Tamandua tetradactyla: one gene and its partners. Each later gene encodes a partner of the first gene's protein in a complex. Links are inferred from orthologs where the notes say so. Each region holds a gene or a part of one and is shown in the gene's direction. Other genes may lie near its edges.

Evidence for each region.
Region 2: PPFIA1 (region 1) and PPFIBP1 share a complex: the UniProt entries of both Homo sapiens proteins name them as parts of the cortical microtubule stabilization complex. The link is inferred for Tamandua tetradactyla from reciprocal best matches to the Homo sapiens genes PPFIA1 and PPFIBP1.
Region 3: PPFIA1 (region 1) and ERC1 share a complex: the UniProt entries of both Homo sapiens proteins name them as parts of the cortical microtubule stabilization complex. The link is inferred for Tamandua tetradactyla from reciprocal best matches to the Homo sapiens genes PPFIA1 and ERC1.

What each region holds. Positions count from the first base shown.
Region 1 is NC_135335.1:4,371,061-4,378,546, reverse strand, and holds the start of PPFIA1 (liprin-alpha-1), read left to right. Parts: upstream 1-4,486; 5' UTR 4,487-4,576; intron 4,577-5,929; coding exon 5,930-6,196; intron 6,197-7,486. UniProt on the Homo sapiens protein: May regulate the disassembly of focal adhesions. May localize receptor-like tyrosine phosphatases type 2A at specific sites on the plasma membrane, possibly regulating their interaction with the extracellular environment and their association with substrates.
Region 2 is NC_135333.1:90,538,128-90,545,987, forward strand, and holds the start of PPFIBP1 (liprin-beta-1), read left to right. Parts: upstream 1-4,845; 5' UTR 4,846-5,064; intron 5,065-7,860. UniProt on the Homo sapiens protein: May regulate the disassembly of focal adhesions. Did not bind receptor-like tyrosine phosphatases type 2A.
Region 3 is NC_135333.1:63,459,312-63,466,615, reverse strand, and holds the start of ERC1 (ELKS/Rab6-interacting/CAST family member 1), read left to right. Parts: upstream 1-4,289; 5' UTR 4,290-4,395; intron 4,396-4,433; exon of another isoform or gene 4,434-4,554; intron 4,555-7,304. UniProt on the Homo sapiens protein: Regulatory subunit of the IKK complex. Probably recruits IkappaBalpha/NFKBIA to the complex. May be involved in the organization of the cytomatrix at the nerve terminals active zone (CAZ) which regulates neurotransmitter release.

The sequences.
Region 1 (7,486 bases):
TCAAGAAAAGCAAGTGGCGGGAGGTTTACGATTTCCTTCAAACTATAATTGCACAGATGAATGAGGCAAACGCCTTTGTGCCAGTGCAGGAGGTGGCGAGAGCCCTCAGAGCTGGCGCATTCATTGAAACTGGCATTGTGCTGGGGCAATCCGTACGCCCCAGCCATCATAGGGGGCAGTACTTCGGTGGCCGGTCATTGATCTGGGGGTTTTGACCTCAGCTTGGGGTCCTGGAAAGGCCACTTCAGTGTAGCAGCAAGAACACAGGGGCTTTGGAGCCAGTGAGTCTTGGGTTCAATTGCTGCTTCCCCCTCTCCCAAATTATGAGCTACGAGGTGTTGGACGCATAATTTAGTCTGTGTTCTCATCCCTAGAGGATCTGGTGAAGTCATAAGGATAAACTACTCTGCAAACGTGATTTTCCCATGAGTTCACAGAGGTGTCCATGCTCCTGGGGACAGACACGCATTAACCGAGCTCAAGGCGGGCTCATTGATAGACCAATAATTCAATGAATTGGCTTATCTGCGGAGGATACCAGAATCCTCAGGCAGCTCCCCTGCTTGGTGGCCACTGAGAACTTCGTCTCCTCTTCTGCCACATTGGGAAAACAGGGGAACAGCAGTGTGGGGATGATTTTAATAATTAAATGAGATGAAAAAACAAAACATTAGCTCTCTTTCTTTCCCTTTCTCCTCTTTAAAGATCTCTCCTTTAGTGGGGTACATGTGGGAAACCAAACTCAGACCCTAAGGGATACTTTAGCCAAGCCAGGGAAGCCCAGGGCCCAAAGCTCCTGTCCTGGGGATTGGATTACACAGGCCACCCTGGGGCCCCCCTGGATAAAATGCTTTCTCTTTGCTTGACCCTTAAAGAGAACATTCTTTGATCACAACAACTTGGCACATGGACCAGAATTCAAGAGCGCTGGATGTCTAGTTGCTCCTGTCCCACCTTTGTCCCCAGCTCGTGGGGGGCCTGTGGGCCAATCAATCAGCAGCCACACCCCCACGGGCTCTTATGGCTGAGACCCTCCCACACTGTCAACAGGCCACTCATTAGAATTCTAGGTGGGCAGGGCCCACACCCTGACCTCTATGGGGGATCTCTTGCTTGGGGGTCCTGGTGGGGCTTCTGATTGACAACTAACCACATTATCTAAATTTCCATCCACCCCTGAGGGGGTTGGGATTCCAGGCTGTTGCTTCTGCGGCACAACCTGAGTCCTGGTAAGAGACTCTCTGGGACCACCCCTCTCCCCATATTTTCTTTTTTCAAGGCTTTAACAGAAAAACTGGGGTGAAAACATCATTTTCCATCTTTGTGGTTTTCCTGAGCCTTATCAGGATGACATGCAATCTAGGAGATGCTTTTCAGATCAATAACTCTGGTGTATAGTTTAGCTGGGTGGTATAGAAATAACTACATTTAAAAGTCATTTTAGCTTCCCAAAAGCAACTCTCCATATTTCGTTCTTGCCAAGATTTTATTAAAGTAACATTCATTTTTGTACTTACTGATAAAAATAAAGCACATTCTCAATAAAGTATCTGGAAAATACAGACTAACAGAAAGAAATGAAAACTACCCACAGTCCCACTCAAAGATAACCACTGCCAACATTCTTATGTATCTATTTCTAGGAAAAAATAATATTTGTTTGAATACAATAAAAGGCTTCCCTATGTAGACATATATACTTTTCTTTTAGAAACCTGAGACTTACATTTTAATTTCACTTTTCTAAAATATTTCATTTAATAAAATAGATTCATTGTTTTAAAATTTATCATATTATTTAATAACATTCTAGACTTTGAATATATAAATTTTACATAATATAAGCTTCATCTATACATACGTTCTTTTTCAAATTTGGGATCACACTGTAATTTGCTTTTTAAATTTTTTTCCCATTTAAAAAAATTAAGGTATAGCTTACATATTAGTGTATGTACACTATACACACAGATCACAAGCACAGTATACATTTTTTTGCCTGCCTTAGCTTCCTAAATTGTGAATGTCACAAAGCATTCTGTTAATTCCAGCTGCAGTGCAAGTCTCTTTCCCTTGGCCCTTTTTCTTCTTCCTGGTTTTGCGATTTGGGAAATGAACTGGATCAAAGTGAATGAAAACCGGTATTTCCATTTTCCTGGAGGTATACCAAGAGGGGTTTGTCCCTCTTCTGCTTGGAAAACTCACCCTTCCAGCTCCAGCTCAGATGTTGCCTCCTCCAGGAAGCCTCTGAGATGACAGCTGGTGGGTGGGTTCTTCCTTCCTCTAGGGTCCCAGCACACCAGCTCACATGCAGTTTATGGGACAGGCACTATTATAGTCTGTTTATTCGCCTTTTCCCCTCCCGGCTGTGGAGGAGGAGGTGGAGATGTCTAAGTAGAGCCCTGTCCCCAGACCTAGGCCACTCACGCGTGCTCGGCAAATGCTCACTGCAGGAACGGAGGGTCTGTCCTGTTGAATCACATTCTGGTGATTGTGCCTATTTCTTACAAGTCAGGTACTTTTTAATTTAATTTAGCTATTTTTAGGGAAAGGAGAAGGGAAGAAAAAGAGAAATAGAGAGGCTGAAAAAGAAAAAGAAAGGAATGAGAAAGGAGAAAGGAGGAAGAGAAGAAGGGGGAAGGAGGGAGGGTGATGTAGGTTGGACAGCACCACATTCTCCATCTGCCCCCCAAAATCTTCATCCAGGTGTAATTATGGGTTGGACGAATTAGGCCGGTACACCTAAGGAGAGCTAGAATGCCTGCAGGTGGTTTGAAGCTGTCTGTTCCCAGAAAAACATGTTTTAAATCTAATCCATTCCTGCGGGTGTGGACCCATTGCAAATAGAATCCTTTGATAAGGCTACACTTCAGTTAAGGTGTGTCCCACCTCATTCAAGACAGGACTTAATCCTTTCACTAGAGTCCTTTATAAACAGAATGAATACCAAGAAAGAAAAACAAAAAGCCTAGAAGAAGCTGAAAGCAAGGAGACCTTGAAGAGACCAGCAGATGCCACTGTGTCCTGCCACGTGGCAGAGGAGCCAAAGCTCACAGGCATATAGTCTTTGGGAAGAAAGCATCACCTTCATGGTGCCTTAATTTGGACATTTTCATGGTCCCAAACCATCAGGTAGTAAATTCCCATTGTCGAAGCTCACACATTTCATGGTGTCTGCAAAAACAACCTGAGAACCAGGGGTAAACTTCATATTTATGTGTAATCACTCAATACACACTTATCGAATGAAAGGAAAGATGGAGGGAAGGTGTGATACTGGACCCTGGGAGGTAAGAACGTCAGAAGCAGCACCTGTCTCAGCGAGCTCAGAGTCGGGAATCCCGAGAGAAGGGCTCTCTTCTCCCCACCCCACGCAGTCGGGGGGCGTGGCTGCCTTCCTACGGCCGGACAGTCGCCAGCGGTGACCGGCACTGGTGTCCTGACATTTGTTTCGCAAAGTTTGCGCTCCAGGAGTCAAACCCGGAGGGGCAGCGCCTGCTTTTATAGATCAAATCCATCTGCAAGAGCCAGCACAGGACCGTCACAGAGCACGCGTTCAAAAACACCTGCAGAAAGAAGGGTAAAAATGACCACCAGAGGCGAGGGCCGCCCCAGCCAGGCTCTCCACTAGTCCCGCGGCAGGTGGGTGTGAATCACTGCCCCACCGGGGAGACCGGACGCCGAGCCCCAGAGGGGCTGCCCTGGGCGGCCGGGCCCAGGGGCGGGAGCTGACCCGGGCGTGGCCGCCCCAAAGCCCGCATTCTCCCCGCGGCGCCACGCTGCGCCTCCGGGTCTCCCCAGGTAGGGCAGGTAGAGCCCGATCCAGGAGTGTCGCGTGGAAACCGCGTCCTTGTGAGCGCGGTAAGGGCAGGTTCGGAGGAGGCGGCGCTCGCAGGCTCCGACCCCGGCTCTGAGCAGTTCCTGGAGCCCGGGGTCGCTTCTCCACGGGGACCCCACCGCCGCCCGCGCCACCCAGGTGAGTGGAGGAGCGACCAGCGGGAAATGCCGGTGCGCAGCGGCCGCGCACAAAGGCCTCGGGTGTCCCGGAGGCTGGGTGGGGAGGACACATCGGCGGCCCCAAGGCCGAACACACGGCCCCGGAAGGCGAGCGGGAGCCCCGAGCCGCAAGCGCTGAGCCCGGAGCTCGGATCCCAGAGTCGTGTACGCACAGGGACCCTCACCTGGGCGGAGCTTGTAGGGGCGGGGCTGCTGTCGCGCCCAGCCAATCAACGCCCGGAAGACTCCGCCCGCCCCCTACCTGGGCAGGCGGCGCTTGCTCATTGGGTCGCCGGTGCCGCGAGCCCGCCCCCGGCGCCGACGCTCGCGCCGACGTGCCCGACGTCGGGCACGTTGACGCCGGTGACGCGCAGGCCGGGCCCGCTCCTCCTCCGCTCCGCCAGTGTCCGGCCGCCGGCCGGCCTTAGTGACTGGGGGCGGCGGGCCCGGGGCCGCGGGAGTCGGGCGGGCGGGCGGGCGCCGGCCGCGGGCTGCCTTCGTCGGCCCCTGAGCTCGCCGGGAGCGAGCAGCCGCCCGCAGCCGCCGCGGAGCCTCCTCGCCCGCTCCCGCCGGTGACAAGGTGAGGGACCCGGGAGACTGAGGTGGGCTGGGGGCGCAGCGGGCCGGGGTGGTCCCCGCGCGCCCCGGGCCCCGGCGCGGGCAGCCTTTCCGTCCGTGCCGCCGGGCTGCGCCGCCCTTCAGATGTCAGCCCCGGGGGAAGGGTCTGCGTCTCCGGGTGCGCACGGGGCTGGGGGCGAGGCCCGCGGCGCCGGGCCAGGGTGGGAGCGCCGCGGCGAGCGCCCGCGGGACCCCCGGGGGACGCGCCCACTCGCCCCGAGGGACCGGGCGCCGGAGCGACGCGCCGCCCTCTTCTCTGGCCGCAGAGACTCCGGGGGCGGCGACACGGTGGGCGTGAGGGGCGAAGACCTGTGGCTGCTGGAAGCCCCTACCCGGGAGGGCCCGCGTTGTGGGTGGCTCCTGCCACCCAGGGGCTGGGGAGGCTGCGGCACCTGACGCGGGAGGGGAAAGGAGCGCCAGGGGGTTGAGCGCCGTCGGGTGTGCTGTCTCTGACATCTCTCTTTTGGGGGTTCACGGTGGTGACCCGGGATCCAGTCCGGACACCTCAGGAGCAGCCACCCCCCCCACGCCCGGTGGTTATGTTTGAGACGCTTAATAGCCTCATAAACTCACCTTTCACTTTCCCTCGCTTCCTAGCGTCCAGGGCTATATCGACCTGCTATATTTCCATTGTGGAATTTTGTGCGTGTGTGTGTGCGCGCGCGCGCGTGTGCTGAAAACTTACGTAAGTTAGGTTGATTGACCAACCATTGTAGCCATTGAAAAACACCTCTCCCAGCCTTTCAGGAATCCACTTCCTTTCACTGTTCACCAAATCCAGCCCAAGACTTGAGGGAGCGCCGTCAGTCCTTCCCAGTAGCTGACTGCACACATTCCTGGGAAATGCCCGATGGATTTTGTACTTGTCAGTTTTACTGGCTGTCTATGCTCCTTCTGTGTTTTTCCTGCAAAAATGATCAGGTGGCATGTGTTTTGGCTTTCTCTCCCCCACCGGGAAATACAGACAAAACAAAAAACCAGCTAAGAAGCAGGCTTGTTTTCAACAACAACAACAAAAATAGCAGCTTTGCAAGCAGAATACCACAGGGTTGATTCTTTATGTGAAGAGTAGTTCTCTTCAGTCTCTACTCCTTCGCTGGGATATTGTCTGTGTCAGTGTCTTCATCTCATGCCACAGCATTTAGGATTTGCACATGCCTGTTTTCCCGGCTTATGGGGAAAGCCCAGCAATCACATCTGAGAATAATGAGATGGTCACTTCTCATCTGTTAGCTCCAGATACCTATAAGGGAGCAGATTTGGGGCAGTAATTGTTTTATGCATAATAACAGCCTTCTGGGTCTCTTCTTTCAAGATGATGTGTGAGGTGATGCCGACCATCAGTGAAGCCGAAGGCCCCCCCCCAGGAGGAGGTGGGAGCCATGGATCGGGTTCCCCTTCACAGCCAGATGCGGATTCCCATTTCGAACAGTTAATGGTCTCTATGCTGGAAGAGAGGGATCGCCTTCTAGACACACTGAGGGAGACGCAGGAGACGCTGGCTCTAACCCAGGGGAGATTGCATGAGGTCGGCCATGAGAGAGACTCCTTGCAGAGACAGCTCAATACTGCACTTCCACAGGTAGGGTGCTTTCAGTTTGCAACACTATAGGTTTTTCCCATTACTTGGTTTCCTTTTTTTAATGGTGGCACTGCTCATACATTCGATGTGTATTTTGTATAATTAACTACTCATGAAATGTTAGTTTCTGGTGATTGGAAGTCAGATGTAGAAAGTAAATTCCTGAGGATTAAACTTTTCAAGGAGAACAAACTCTGTTTTACTTTAAAGTTATGTAAAAATGCCTGTCATCCTGTTCTTGGTGCAACAGAAGAAACTGATTTGGGAAAGTGCTCTGAAGTTTTTGAGAAAGTGCTTGAAAAGTTTTTGAAAAGGACTGTGAAGCAGTCAAGCTTTGTGGTACTTTCAGGTCTCTTGAACTTTTTTTTGTTTTGTTTTGTTTTTGACAGAAGTGTATTTCCCATGGATTGTATCTTGTATATTTCAATTTCCTGTGAAAGTTAATAGGAAGATAGGATTAATTTCACAGAAAAATAATTGTTTTTACAGCCCACCTTTACTAAAACACCTGTGTTCTGTAAATCCTGCTTGTTTTGGAGGTGGAAGACTAGAGATTGATTCCTTAGTAATTTTTGTGTTGGCAGATGAGAATTCTAAAGCTTAAAGTCACGTGGAAGAGCTTACTCTTGAAGTACGTTACGTTTGAATCCGAGTTTCAAAGCCTTTTCTAGTGAAATTGAATGAGGATTTAATGATGGTATGGGGAGAAAGTTAAAACTAGAAAAGTGTACAGTGACTCACCCAGAGTGTAGTTGGAGCAGTGTGGGTTACTTAGGTGTTTCTGAGATATCTAAGTGCCGTTTTATTTAGCCAGAGAGTGTGCCTTCATGGTGCTTTAAGGTGAACCTGAATAAGCATACATCTATACTTTCATGATGAATCTGTAGTGGTAAATTAATAAATTAATAATTAGTAGCCTTAATGCGTTTCTTGGCTCTAGTCAGTTCTCTTGAAAAATTGATAAGCTAAACATTTGGATTTCCTTTTTAGCAACTAGTTTTTCATGTTAATGCTATATATTCCTTTTTTGTTGGATTGAAGAATCACTAAGTTTTTTTTTCTGGTTAGAATCTTCTAAATTGCCAGGTTTGTTTAGATAAGATTTTATTATCATATACCTAAAAGAGTTGGCCAAATTATCATGTTTTATTAGTATTTTATTGTATTTGAAACTCTTTTCAGTATTTTTTAATAATGGTATTTGTTTTCATGTGATGTGAGCTGCATATAGTGAAGTGTTTTTTTAAAGAATGTACACAAAGGACATAAAAGAGAGTGGGGGTGAGTCTC
Region 2 (7,860 bases), on another chromosome or scaffold:
GGAATAATCAGATAACCAGCAAATCTGGGTTGCAAGAAAGGAATGATTAAACAAGACTGTCTTCTTGAAGTGAGATATTGTGCCTACTTCTAACGTGTCTCCACAGACAAGAAGGGAATAATATCAGTGGTGATAGCTGAATAGAGGTGTATCTTCCAGGTAAAGGCAATTAAAATGGTGTCCCTGTTATCACTGACACTATGTTCAGAATCAGGCAGACTAAGCAACAGTTTCTTTTAGAAGGAATTCCAGGACTAAGCTTGTTTCATTTGGATTTGGGTTTATGATTTATATTCCATATGCCCAACCCTGTCTGTGTTTGGTGGTAACTGGGATGAGAACAATCTTAGGTGGCCAGATCCATTGTGATCACTCCAGTCTAGTATTTTTGAACTTCTGAAGACCTAGTTCATAGTAGATTTAAGAGTTTTAAGCAACTGATAGCATTTGTTCATCTATTCATTCATTCAGTGAATTTTTATTGAGTGTCCACAGGCCAAGGCATTACGCTTGACTCCATAAAGATGTAAAAATGAAACAAATTGGTATTCTACCATCAAGGACTGTAAAGAACAGAGTGAGGAACAAAAACCATGTGAAAAATAAGAGTAGTGGTTCAGTGGTAGAATGCTCACCTTTCGTGCGGGAGACCCGGGTTCAATTCCCGGACCATGCATTCCCCCCCCGCCCCCCACAAAATAAGAGTACAGTTGTTTTATGCCATAAAAAAAGGAACATCTGTTTACTGATGACCTATTATGTGTCAGACAATTTAACCTGAGACCTTGTGTCTGATACCTCATCAGATCCTCAAGCAACCCTGTGAGGTGGTTTTTAGTATTCATCTTCACATTCAGCATGAGGAAATAGACTCAAAAAGTGGTTTGAGATCTTGCAGCCTGATTTCAAAACCAGGCCTGACCTTCTTTAAAGCCCACACTCTCACTCCCCATATCTGCCTTGAACTGTAATAAGTCATTTATGTTTTAGGAGAGGGAGCTATTACTTCCAGTTAAGGGTTCAGGGAAGTCTTGTGGTAAAAGTGTCTTTGAACTAGGCCTTGAAGATAGGGCATAAAGATGTGAAGAAAAGGGCAACAGTCAAACATTTTTTAAAACTTTTTATTGTAGGAACATGTACAGCTCAAAATTTCCCATTTTAACCACTTCTGAGTGCTAAATTCAGTAGTGCTAATTACATTCATGATATTGTGCTGACATCACCAGTAATCATTATTCCAACTTTTTCATCACCTCAAACAGAAACTCTGAACTCACTAAGCAATAGGCAAAAGTCATTCTTTAACTGAGAAGACAGTATCAGAGAATATGGCTATGTAGTATGAGTATGAGGAAGTGTGGACTTTGAGTTTAGAAATGTAAGTTGAGGATGGGGATGGAAATTCTGGATGCAAGTCCAGAATTTAGGCTTTGTTCTCTGGGAAGAGGGAGGCAGTTAAGTGTTTTGAAAGGAGTTGAGTGATCTGGGCTGTACTTAAGAAGCATGCACCCAGAAGCCTGTAAAGATAGACAGTAAAATGACATGAACTTGACGAGTTGGGTGAGCATCTAAACAAACTAAGTAGGGACTGTGTTTTCATGCTTACACAAGTTGGGGATGAAGTTACAAAAGGAGCCAACTTTTTCTCTCTTCTTCCAGAGGGCAGAACTGGAGCCTTTGGGGAAAAAGTCAGAAAAGCAGTTTCCAGCTGGCCATGAGAAAGATCTTTAATGATGAGCTGCTTTCCTAGCTTGTGTGCTCCTTGCTGTCAGATAAATTCAAGCAGGGATTAGAAGGCACCCTGTCAGGAATACTATAGCAGGGGTTCTCACTCCAAAAGGTCAAGATGACCTTTAGGGCCCATTTCAAGTTCTGCCTTTGTTATTCTGTGCAGGTTTTCTCCTGCTTTTGCAGTGTACTTTTGCTAACTTTTCAGCTGCCCATCAGGTATCCTGTCTTGCTTCTGCTACAGTGTCCTGATCCCTTGGAGTTTCCTCAAGAGACCCAGAGGCCAGTGGTTTAATATACTTTTTTTTAAGTGTTAGAACCACTTTTTAAAATGAAACATGACAGGGAAAGGCTGGATGTAAAACAGGTAGGAGCCAAGCTACTTTAACTCTGATTAAAGGGAGAAGGGGAAGGGAGCTTGAAATCTCACCCATTGGTTCCTTTTTCACCCCTACCACGTAACCCCTGATTTGAGCACTACTGCTCTAGACTTCCCTGTTTTCAGCTTTCCTCAAGTCTTTTGTGTTTTAAACTCCGATGGCAGCTGTTATCACTCCAGCTGCAGAGGGAATGGGAGGCGACTTCCTGTTATTCTATCCTGCCATCCTTTTGGGGGTGGGACAGTCCCTCCCTCATCTCTTGCTGCTGGTTGTAGTTTCTGGAGAATGTGAGCTGTGAGTGAGATGCAGCCATCCTAAGACTGGGGCTGGAGGAATGCTTGGTAGCAACCCAGCAGCTATTTGAAGGGATTTGGGGAGCAAGGCAGACGAGAGGCACTGATAGACTAGTGTGTCCCAGAGAGTGAGGGAAGAGGAATTATGAGTGACTCTAAGGGACAGGTTAAATGGGTGGTTGGTCCAGAAGATTATCTGAGGAAGTTACATTGAATGAATGGTGAGAGGCTGGGGGAAGGGAAGGGTTCTAGTGGAAGCATAAAAAGAAAGAGAAGATAGTTGAAGTTTATGACTAAGAGAGTATTTGAGTGAGGACAGGGAGCATTTAAGGAATCCAGGCTAGTTAGAAGTGATATAAGGATCCATTATCTGTAGCCCACTTTAGTATTTGGCCTTTTCCACGAAATGGGCATAAGGAATAGAAAGAGGTTATTAAGCACAGAGCTTGCTGTTCAGGATATGGGAAGACATGAAATGGGTATAATGAGACATATATTACCATGTATTACACATCTGTACAATCTCAATAATGCTTACCATAACCTTTGTAGTATCATCAGCCCCATTTTTATAGAGATTCAGAATGGTTTAGTGACTTGTCCAAGGCCACACAGGATCTAAGAGGCAGAGCTGGGAGATGGACCCAAAACCCTATTTCTGTCTACTGTAGTACACAGCCAGGGCATGGTGGAGGACAAGGACTTGAGCTGGGCTTTGAGGGAAAGGTGGGACTAACTACATGGAAGAGTGGGTATTCAGTTAGGCCAAAAGGTGAGAACCAAGCATGGAACTGAGTAGACCTTATTAGTCTGCAGCAGAGGGTTTCTCAGAGTAAAGTGGGAAATAAAATGGGAAAGGTAAATAGATACCAAATTAGGGAGAGTTTTAAATGGCTAGAAAAGAGTCGCAGGGAAAGGGGGACCAGATTTGGAGGGGAGGATGTTGATGACAAAACCAAACATTGTTTTAGAAGACTCACCTGGTAGCGGTGCATATAAAGAATTAGTGATGGGGAAAAGTGGAGTAAGAAATGTAGGTTAGGAGTTTGGGATAGTGTAAGTCTGAACAGAAAACATGATGGTAATAATGTAAAATAAGGTCTGTGACAGCAGTGGCCTGGGTCTGTAGATTTTTTTTTAGTATGTGGTGTCTGAGAGGTATAGATAATCAATACTTTAGATATAAAAAGAAAAAATGCCTTTGGAGACAAGCAGACATTGTTTCCATTCCAGTTCTGGGTGAACAGGGGCAATTTAGTTAGGTAACCTGTCTGAGCCTTTGATTCCTTGTTAATATGGAGGTAACAAGGATGATTATAAGGGTTAAATAATACACATTGCCAACGCTTTTGTCCCTCTACAATTTTTTTTTGGCAGAATGGTGAAATATATGGTGTGTTGTCATCAATTAAAAAAATAAATAGCACCAAAAAGTAATTCATTGTACTTCAAAATGATAGGTAGATAGTATGCTACCTTACAGATAAAGCCACTTTTCACCATTCAGTTCTGCCTTGAAGCAGCTATTATGTAAATTGAAAGAACCCTCTCCTGGGAATCTTTTTGTTTATAAGCCAAGGGGATTATACAGCATGATATCCGTCAAAGATCAATGTCAGCTAATTCTTAATTGATAGTTCAGCTACTCCAATAGGTTCTATTGAAGTGTAATTATTCTCATGTGATTTGTTGAAATGAATTGTGTCCCCATTCCCATCCCTCCTGCCCCCTCTCAGTTAGGCATTAAAACAGCAGTAGAGTCCCTAAAAAGGTAGGTAGTAATTTTTTTCTTACCCCAGAGGTTCAATTTTATTTGCTTGGAAGCTTGTGTGGTGTGATTTTATTGCTGAAAGAAAAGCAGCCACATGGTTGATAACGCCGCCACCAGTGAACAATTCAGAGCTGAGTCGCCGTTTCTAGGATTCACTTTCAAATCTTTCCAAAGGCTTTTGAAGTTCCACGTTCTCATTCTAAGGGAACACCCACCAGTCCCAAGATAAAAGGGGAGAATGAAGAGCTGGCGTTTTCCTTTATTTGCATGAGTAAAGCAAGCCATTTTCTGCACCACGCGCCGCTGGAATCGTACTTGCCCGTGACAGAGGCATTTTTTTTTTCCCCTTAACAAGGGGGCTTAGTTTCGTTTCTGATCTGGCATATAGTAAATATGCCAAGAAAGTTTAAAACTCGATCTGCAAGGGCTTCCTTGTATCATTATCTCCATTCTTTAGAGATAGCAGGGAAGGCAGCATTTTTTTTCCATCAACACCCACTTCCAGCCGAAGTCTCGCTCAGCAAGGAATGTATAAAATAAGTTGACTCCCCTGAGTGACTTTCCCTGGGTCCAATCAGCCGGAGCCCAGGCGCTGCCACCACCCCGCCCTTGCTAACTCTCTTTGGCTAATTCTTGGAGGGAGGGAGGAGAGAAGGCGACAGTGGGAGGGGGAGGTACCTGGAACTGGGAGTGATGTCAGCTCCCAGCGCGGTGCTGGCCCGGATTCCTGACATGGTGCAGGGGAGAGAGGGTGGGGAAAGGCTGGAGCGCGACGGCAGAGGAGTTGTGTAGGGCGAGCCTGCGCCGGGGACGGAGTGCTGGGACTTTGAACTCCGAGGGAAGGTGAACCACAACTTTTGGAAGTAGTGCCGGCGGCTCACCACCCCTCTAGGTAAGGGTGTTTTGCTCCACTTGGGGACGGGAGGAAAGTGGCACCGTTGTGTGGTTGCAGCTGGGTGTTGCAGCTGCCCCTCCTCTTCCCAGGCTGAATTTCCTTTTCCAACTCTCCTGTTTCCCAATGGTAACGGGCACTTTGGGGGGCCGGGGTGGTGGTGGCTTCGAACTAGCCTATATGTGAAAAATACCACAGGATTGGACATGTAAGGTCTCCTCTGTGTTCCCCACACCCTGGTCTCCCAATAGTATTTGAAAACCCCAATCAGAGAAGTGTTTATGGATCAGTGATTCAAATATTATGGTCTTTGAGAGAAAAAAAAAACACTTTTTTTTGTGTGTGTATTTTCAGTTCGCCCATGGCCTTTTATATACCAATATAAATAAAAGAATATCAGCGTTAAACCATCCCTTTATATATTCCAGGCAGGATGTGAGAAATTTATTTGGGGTGTATTATGAGTTTGTGGGAAAAACTGGTTTCTTGGGGGGGGTTACACCTCTAAAACACCAATTCTTCAGATCTTATTCACGCTTACAATTTTTTTTTTTTAATTCGTGCTTACATTTTAACAGAGAATCCCTTTCAGTTGCCAACTTTGTGATCTGGAGGGGTTAAGAAAGCTGCTGAGAATCTTCAGATCTGTTTCCTGTGGTTGCTTGAGAAAAGAATGAGGGCTGTAGTTGTGTTTTCAGGGAGCATTTTTAGAGAAGGGAATTTTAACAGGGAAATGTGGTGGAAGGCGTGGCATACAAACTCTTAATTATAGGAACATGAACTTTCCAACTTGTGGGACCAGAACAAGTCCTTCCTTTCAACAAGAACTGCAAATGGCAATAGAAAAAGAACTTGATTTAAAATTCTTTTGATTTAAAAGTCCAAGTTTGGTATTTAGGGAGAGCAGTTGCCTGTCTGGGGGAAAAGGATTATTTTGAGAAGTGAAAGACTAGAATTCTGATTTTTAATTGATTGCTTATTTCCTGTTTCAAACCTTTTTTTTCCTTTTTCCTACTTGCAGATTTGTGTGTCCAGGGCACTGAATGGGTGTGATTGACTTTTTTGGTGGTGTGTGTGTGTGTTTGTACATAAATTGATTGAGAACCTTTAGTCAGTGCTTAAGGTTCTTTATTTTGGAGAAGAAAAAAACCAGTATGGACTGAGACTCTTGAGTTGGGTTTTCCCTTTCTTTCCCTGCAATTGCTTAGATAGTGGTGATCCCCCAGTCGCCAGGTCAGTAGGAATGGGCATGGACTTCATTGTGAGGCAAAAGCTATATCCCAGACGCCTGAAGGAAAGGGCAGTTCTAGGAGATGTGGAAAGAAAGAAGCTCCAACGTTGTGTCTAATAAACCTAAGTCAGGAAGAGTGCAGATAGGGGACTTTATGGGTGGGGTTCTTCATCTTTCTAGCCAGATGACAATTAGATTTCAGAACTAAAAAAAAGTGATCTTGTTTCGCTATTGTTTATAAAACATGTGGGTCTTGTTATTAGTTATTGTTACTGCTTTTCATTCCTGAAAACAATAAATAGCGTAAAGTGGATAAAGAGCAGGCTTTTTGAAAAGGGAAGGTGCTTCGTGGAACAGTGAGCACATTTCAATTTTGGGTTGTGTTTTTGGGCTAATGAACAGAAATTGCTAATGATTCTGAAGTAATACAGAGCAAGTCTTTTCTATTTATGTACTATAGGAAGTACTAAAACATATTGTATTTTCCAGTGTACTTTTTCAGTAGGAAAGAAAATGAGGTGATGTGGAATTCCTGTGGGCAAATGTGAGCTCACTGGAACCTTGGCTGATGGAGTGTTCAAATGCTAGTCGGTCTAACTGAGGAATGGAGCTGCAAAAACCAGTCAACTGAAGACTGCTTTCAGAAGGTTATGTAGCTGGGCCAAATTCTGATTGATACTTTCTTTCCAAGAAGCTAGTTCTACCCTAAGAAACAATATATCAAAGCTTTAAATTTCATTCAGTTTGAGTAATAACATTAAGTTTATGTAATTAATTTGAACCAATATTTCTCTTACTCTGTGTTTATGAGGCAGATGTGGTATAATAAAACATGGTACTTTCAAAGAACAAAACTTGAAAGAGAACAATGTGACCAGGCTTTGGTTAAATTCTCTTTGACCAGCAACTATTATAATTGCAGTAGCTGTTTTAATAATTAGGATAACCTGGCCCTTAGGGACAAATGTTGGCTTGAAATCTCAGGATACACTGTAGTTTCAAGTCAGTAGTGTTTAATTACAAGGGCATCATAGACAGTCTTTGGAAACAAGTTCATTGAGGGAGTTAGTTTGTTTACATAATCTTTTGTCACTACTGTAGCAGTGCATAGAGCAAGGTCATTTTCTCCCCCTCAGTTACTGACTAGCTTTCATATTCATAAAATATTTGTATTTTTCTAGTTAATTTACATTATGTTAATAATTTGTTACATTAAAAATAACTGAGGTTTTCATCTCCGGTTTAAAAAATTATTATCTACATCCTAAACAGCTTGATTTTCCAGCTGTTAACTGAGAGAAGACCTTGTTGAGCATTCTATCTTTTCAAAAATATTATTGCAGTTTCTGGCCTGGTTTGAGTTACCTTTTCAAAACAGTTAATGAATGAATATCCTATTCTTGCTTGGATCTGTGTCCTGATTCTTCATTATGGAAATGCTGCTATAAGGTGAAAACATAAGCAAGAGGAAGTGCATAATAATTATTAAAAAAAAATTACTGAGATGTCCCTAGAAAGTCATTGGTCCTAAAATTAAAAAGAAAAAAAATCAACACTCAGCAGTC
Region 3 (7,304 bases), on another chromosome or scaffold:
CTAATGATCCCTGGGTGTCTGTTCATATTTAATGAGGCAGTTGGAATGCTGATTATAAGTCATGTGAACTTGGGAGGGTCATGCCAACTTGTCCAAAATCATTTGTTAGGAAACCAGCTATTGTGCCAGAATGAAGAATGCTTTACTCTTTAGCACCCATAAAAGTTGTCCACTCTCTCTCAAAGCCCAAATCTGCAAGTGAAATAATTGCCCCCCTCACCATGTGGGACACGCCATACCAACGTAGGGGTGAAAGTCCTTCTGATGGTGTGGAAGATGAATTCCAGGGATGATGAGCCTAGCCCTGGCACCCTGGGATCAACAATGCCATCCTGATCAAAATGGGAAAAAGAAGTGTAGCAAATAAGCTATCAGTGGCTGACACAGTTCAAATAGAGTGGGGAGGCTACTCTGGAGGTCACTCTTACCAAGCTTCAGTCAGACATTGCTACCTATCATAGTTTGCCAACCCCAACCAAAACCATTCCAGCCAATCTTAAAGAACAGCTAGGGCATTATACAAGATTCTACAAAGCTTCCATGCATTAAGGGTAACTTTCTAGAAACCTACAACTTCTGAAGTGCAGAGCGACCAGCCTCTCCAGAACATCAACTAGTTCCAACCCTCTATCCCATATTATTGACAGTCCCTTCCAACATAAAAAAGTTGGAGTGGGCATAGCTGAAATATCCCTAGAGAGTGGGAAAAAGATTAAAGGTGATGGTTGAGTTATAGAGAGAATTTAGGGTTTAAAAAATGAATATGATTGCTGATTCATTGCATAGATATTTCTTTTAGTCTCCAGTATCTTAGAGCAGTGTGCTGGTTTGAAAGGATGTATGCCCCCTAGAAAAGCCATGCTTTAATCAAAATCCCATTTCATAAAGGTAGAATAATCCCTATTCAATACTGTATGTTTGAAACTGTAATCAGATCATCTCCCTGGATGACGTGATTTAGTAAAGAGTGGTTGTTAAATTGGATTAGGTGATGACATGTCTCCACCTATTTGGGTGGGTCTTGATTGGTTTATTGGAGTCCTATAAAAGAGGAAACATTTTGGAGAAAGGAGATTCAAAGAGAGCAGAGACCGACATAGCCATGAGAACAGAGAGCCCACAAGCCAGCGACCTTTGGAGATGAAGAAGGAAAATGCCTCCTATGGACCTTCATGAAACAGGAAGCCAGGAGAGAAAGTAGCAGATGATGCCTTGCTCACCAAGTGCCCTTCCAGCCGAGAGAGAAACTGTGACTGTGTTTACCATGTGCCTTTCCAGATGAGAGAGAAACCCTGAATATCATCAGCCTTCTTGAACCAAGGCATCTTTCCCTGGATGCTTTTGATTGGATATTTCTATAGACTTGTTTTAATTAGACATTTTCTCGGCCTTAGAACTGTAAACTGGGAACTTATTAAATTCCCCCTTTTTAAAAGCCATTCTGATTCTAGTATATTGCATTCTAGCAGCTAGCAAACTAGAACAAGCAGTTAGAAGTAAAACCCTAAAATTGTGGAATTGTAACCCATACCAAACACTGAAATCTGTTCTGCAACTAATTGTTGTGATGTGCTTTGAAATTTATGCTTTTTAATATATATGTTATATTTTACAAATAAGAAAAAAAATGAAGTTCACCCAGAGACCATGCCAAAAAAAAAAAAGCTGTCAAGATCTCCTTAAAGAGTGTTAGAACGCTTGAATTTCTAACCTGGGACAAATGTTTGCCATTGCCTCTGAGTTACGGGGAGGGTGGTAGTGGTAGTGGTGTTCTCCTGGTTGATATGCATACATTTAATCTCCTGTTTTCAACCCTGCTTCTTGCTCCTGCTGTCTACTTGTGGGTACTTCTATACCTCAAACTCTCTAAAGCACCTTACTTTGTTGGTAGGACCCAGTCCTTGGCAGCAGTATCCATTCTACATTATGGTTCCCCCATTTGGCTTAACACTTTCTGTATGTTAAGATTAAAAAAAAAAATTTCCTTCTTCTAATGGCTGTCTTCTTATTTTCTATTTTGTGTGGGTTTGTAACAATTTAATGGGGTCTTAGGAAGAAGAGGCAATAAATGCATCTACTTACTCAGATAGCCAGTTTTAATAAAAAAATCATAAATGTAGATTTAAAAAAGGTATCTGGGGGGTACATGGGTAGTTCAGTGGTTAGAATGCCCGCCTTCCATGCAGGAGACCTGGGTTCAATTCCTGGACCATGCACCCCAAAAACAAGGTATCTGGGGCAGGGAACGGAATAAGAAAAAACCACCAGTGCAGTGGCAAAAAAATTAATAAATAAAAATAATTTTTTTTTTGTGATATGACAGAGTTCCTGTATGTAACTTAGTGCTCAGCTCTTTTTTAACGCAATTTTATTGAGCTATATTCACAAACCATCTAATCATCCAAAGTGTACAATCAATGATTTACAATATCATCATACAGTTGTGCATTTATCACCCCAATTTTTGAACATTTTCATTACTCCAAAAACAAAGAGTAAAAATAAAAAAGAATATCCTAAATGCCACATACTCCTTATTTCCCCCTATAATTTATTTACTTACTCCCCTCATTTTTTTACTCATCTGTTCATATACTGGATAAAAGGAATGTCAGTCACAAGGTTTTCACAATCACATGGTTACACTATAAAAGAATGCTTAGCTCTTAACTCTTCAGAGCCACACATTCTGGGGATATGATGGATCTCAGACATTTAATGCAAATCCCATTTTTACATTTGAGAAAAGTAGAACCCAGAAGTAAAGTAATTGGCCCAAGGTCACACAGGTAGGCAAGGGCTGAAGAGAAACCAGAATGATAACTTGACTCAGAATTTACTTTTTTTTCTACCTCACCACACTGTTGGGATGAGCAGAGGGTCAGATGATAAAGGCCTTGAAAAATAGTCAAAGAAGGATGGATTTTCCTAGGTAAAAAGTTTGATTTCTAAGAGAATGAAATATTTTAGGATGATTATTTAGTGGCTATCTCGTCTCCTTCTCTGGCAGCACACAGTCTGACAACTGGCAGCCATATGTTGGATGCACTGAAGGGGGAAACTGAACAGCAGGGCCAAGAACTGGAAAGATCCAAGTGTATGGTGATCCCGGAAGGGAACAATCAGAGAGCCTGGGCAGGGTGAAACAGTAAATTTGATGAGTGACTGAATGCAAACACTGCGGAGAGATGTGGGACTATGAGGGGTAAAATGATGACTTTTAACTCCTCTCATCTCAAGGGCATTTAAAATTATTTTAATAAACACCGGAGGGCTGGGAATAAATATAATTCCCACCATCTTTACTTTTCTGGTTCTGATATAGTTTACCTACATCTTGAAATTAATGGCTGCAGCTAATCTCTCTGCATTGCTCCTACAAAAGAAAAACGATTACAATTCTGTACAACCAAATTAGTTGCCTGAAATACGGTATCGGGTGTGTCTGGTCGACCCTCGGAGTTGCTGGGAGAACGAAATAAAACCGTTAAGATAGCACAGTATTTGGCACATTGCAGAGACAGAATGTGAACCTTAATTTCCGCATAAGCTCTCTTCGTCTATGTGGCTTAACTAGGAGGAAAAATGACTTGCACTGGCGTGGGTCTTCTGCGATGCCCAAGTTCGTTCCTTAGGGCCATGAACACAGCTTCAAATTTCTCAGATCGTATTACTACCTCCTGCGACAACATTTCGCAAAAGCCAAGGAAATTAAGTAGGGCGGTGGGCGGAAAAATCCAACTTCCCTTGGATAAACAGTACCCACTGCAGGAGTTCGGGCGCAGCCGTCAATCAACTGACAATCCTAGAGCTGCTCCCCAAGACTGTGACTGACCCGAGGTTTGTGTAACGGGCTCCGCAGAGGAGGGGGTGGGGCGACTAAGGTTTGGGAAAGAGACTCTAATTCTCTGGCTTCCAAGCGATCCACTTCCTACGGCAAGCAGAAGGAGACAAACGCCGCCTCCCCTCACTCCCACCTACCGCCTCTTCCTGGTGCTCGGCCTCGGAAGCCGTGTGTAGGGTGTGTGTGTACGTGTGTATGCTCCGCGCCCGTTATTCTGCCTCGGCGCCCAGTCCCGCCATAGCCCTGAGTCACCTCGGCTTCCTCTTCCCTGACCCACCTTCCCCTAGAAGGCGCTGAAGGCCTGCAGGACGCGGGACCCGCTCTCCGAAGGCAGAGAGGGTAGACCCAGGGGGAGGAGGCGCTCCTGGAGCCCAGCTGCCCGGGGGGTTGGGGGCGGGGCTAGGTGTCTCGCGAAGGGGGCGGGGCGCGTGACGTCGGCGGGCGCCTGGGCCGTGCCGTGGCTGTGGTGGTGGCGGCGGCGGCGACGGCGGTGGCAGTGGTGGCGGCGGCGGTGTCGGAGCCTGGGTGGCAGCGGAGCAGCTCATAGGAGGGTGAGACGGCCGCGGTAGTGGCAGCTCGGAAGTCAGGAGGGACCTAGAGCTTCCCGTCTGTCGCTTGTTCTGAGGCTTTTGCCTTTTCCTACCCGGCTTCTTCCTCCCGGCCCTGGCTAGGGCAGGGCTGAGCGCCCTCGGGGAGGGGCGGAGCTGTAGGTGAGGCTTCTGGACCCCTTCCCCCTCCTTTTCCCACCGGGGGGATGGGGAAGGCTGGGGACTGACAGACCCCACCCTAACCCACCTTAGCCCACCGGCGGGCTCCGCCCGGCTGAGCTCCGGGATTGGGCGGGAGCTGAGGCGATAATATGGAGAACCCGGGCCAAAGGTGGGAAATGGGGGCTTTAGGCACTTGGAGAACCGAGGGTGGAGGGTTAATGAGGCGTGTTGTTGAGGGCGAGGTTGTGGGGAGACGGAGAAATTGGTGAGCCACGAGATTGGGGTGCGGTCAGAGTAGATCTGGGTCTAGGTGACCGATATAAAATACTGGAGAAGGTGAGGATTCTTTTTGAGTGTGTATGTATGTTTAAATGGTGAGATAGGAGATGAAGGTTGTATTTCAACAGAAAGATTAACTGTGCATGTTGCCTCTGAGGCAGTTGGAGAAGCTATGGCACATGATCTCACATTTCTCCTTTAGGGTTTTGGTTATTTTTCTTTTTTTTCTCCTTGTGGAATGGGGGTTGAAGAGGTAGGGTCCGGGAGGGAAGAGAATCCCTTTGCTTTGGCTTGGGGTGGGTAACTAGTGGGTGTGGGTAGAGCTGAAGTTTTATACCCAAAAAAGAGTGAGATCTTGGGTTAAACAACTTCACTCTGGCAGCAACCATTAGGGAATAGGTCGCATTACGCTTAGATCCTTAAAGGGATTGTCATCCATTCTTTTTTCTGTACCTAAAGATCTCTTTATACTACGTTATTTGTAAGCTTTTACCTGGTCCCTTAAGAGAAGGCCTTAGGATCAGGTAGTTGCATTGGAAGACACATTTTTGAGTAATAGTTGCAGGTGGTTTTGGTTGAGTGTACTGAGTGAATAAAATGAACAAATGAACGGTTCATTTTCAAAATGAATAATTTGAAAAATTCTTAAATTTTTAAAGCTCAGCTGTCTTTTACAGCTCCTTTTTTTAGTAGACTTTGACATTTTGTGTTCAACACCAATTAATGGAGACTTTTTATTTCTCAATTGCATGTGTGTATATCGTCTTCATTATGCACTTTAAAAATGAAATGGAATTTTTTTTTTAGGTAGGCCCCTGAGTTTCTTAGAAATGTCCTTGGAGCCATGTGCTTTTAAAATGCTCTTTAATAACATTCTGGGATATTGTCACCTTCATGAATAGATATTACTAAGAGTAAACAGTGTTGTTCACATCCATGTTTCACAATTTACTCGACATAGTAAAACAGAATCTTCTTTTCTGGATTCTTGCTCCTTATTCGGTTCAAGTACTTGCTGACCTTATTTGCTAGTTTTGTATCACCTGAACTATTTCTTGCTCACAAAAAAGATCCTGTGATAGACATGTATTGTGTGGAAGCAGGCATAACTCTCATTAATTCATTTATGGAGGAAGAGAAACTGTCATGAAAGAATTTAGCAATGACTTTATCAAGCCTTAACCAGTTTATTTGGGAAAGTAGCCAGAGAAGTGCTGTCCTGTAACCCAAGAGAGAAATATACAGAGTTTCAATAGTTGCAGATCTTTGCTTTTTCTAAGTGCCTGCTAATGAGCAGAACACGGATATCTTCTAGCAAATACTTCTGCTTGTGAAGACTTATGGGAAACACATAAGAGCATATACGATATAATAGCTATTTAGTGAGAAAGGGTGTGGTCCAATGTATACTTATAAATAAGAGATTTAAATAGCTATATTCAGAGAGATCAAATTAATACACTGAATAGTTTTGATTTTGGATTACTTAGAAAAATTAAAATTCACATACAGTTTTGGCCTTTGAATTATACTTTAATTTAATTGGGTATGTGTGAGGGCAAATGGGAACTAAGATACCAGGTAAAACTTTTGGGTGTGTACTGCTAAAATAACATTTGAATGTCTGACAGTGGGATGTGAGTCTTCCCTTGTGGGAATGAGATCATGAGATTTGGGGGAAAGTCTAAGGTGAAATTGACCTATTTCTGTTTCACATTCCTTGTGCCTGAAAAAAAGACTACATTTTATTTTTTAAGAAAGTGTCACTTGCTAGTCATTACTGTCATCCTTGGGTCTCCGAGTCTGCTGAGATGTTCTGTATTCTTCATTACTAAAGTCATATAAATATGTCAGTCTGTTAATTCAGCATTAATACTGGCCACCTCAAAAGTTAAGATTCTCATAGCAATAGCCGCTCATTTTCTATATCACATTTATGCTTTTAGAAGTAGTGTAAGAGCACTTTATTGTGTGTTTTACACATTGTATTGGAAACCTTGATTATCAGAACAAGATCAGGGAATGAGGCATTTTGGTTAATCAAATTATCAATACATTGATTATCAACTTTGAGGGAAATTAATGAAATAAAATACATACTTGACACAAAAATGGGGAGCACATCTGAGGAGAGATATAAGTTAAGGGAGATGTCTAGGATGAAGTGAAAAATTTGGTTGTCAACTTATAGATGGTATTTAAAGTTATGAGATGGATCGATAGCCAGGGAGTAAATTTAGCTGGAGAAAAGATCCCAATATCTGAGCCTTGGGCACTTATCCATTCAATTATTCATTCAATAGCTATATTGAGCATGATTCTAGCTACTTTTTTAGGTATTGGGGATTCAGCATTGAACAGAACTGACAAAAGTTCATACCATCTTGAAACTAACTTTGTTGATACATTCCACCGAAGGAGATTTAAGAGTCCTTTCAGTTAAGAGGAAAAGTAGGGGAGTGTGATGTATT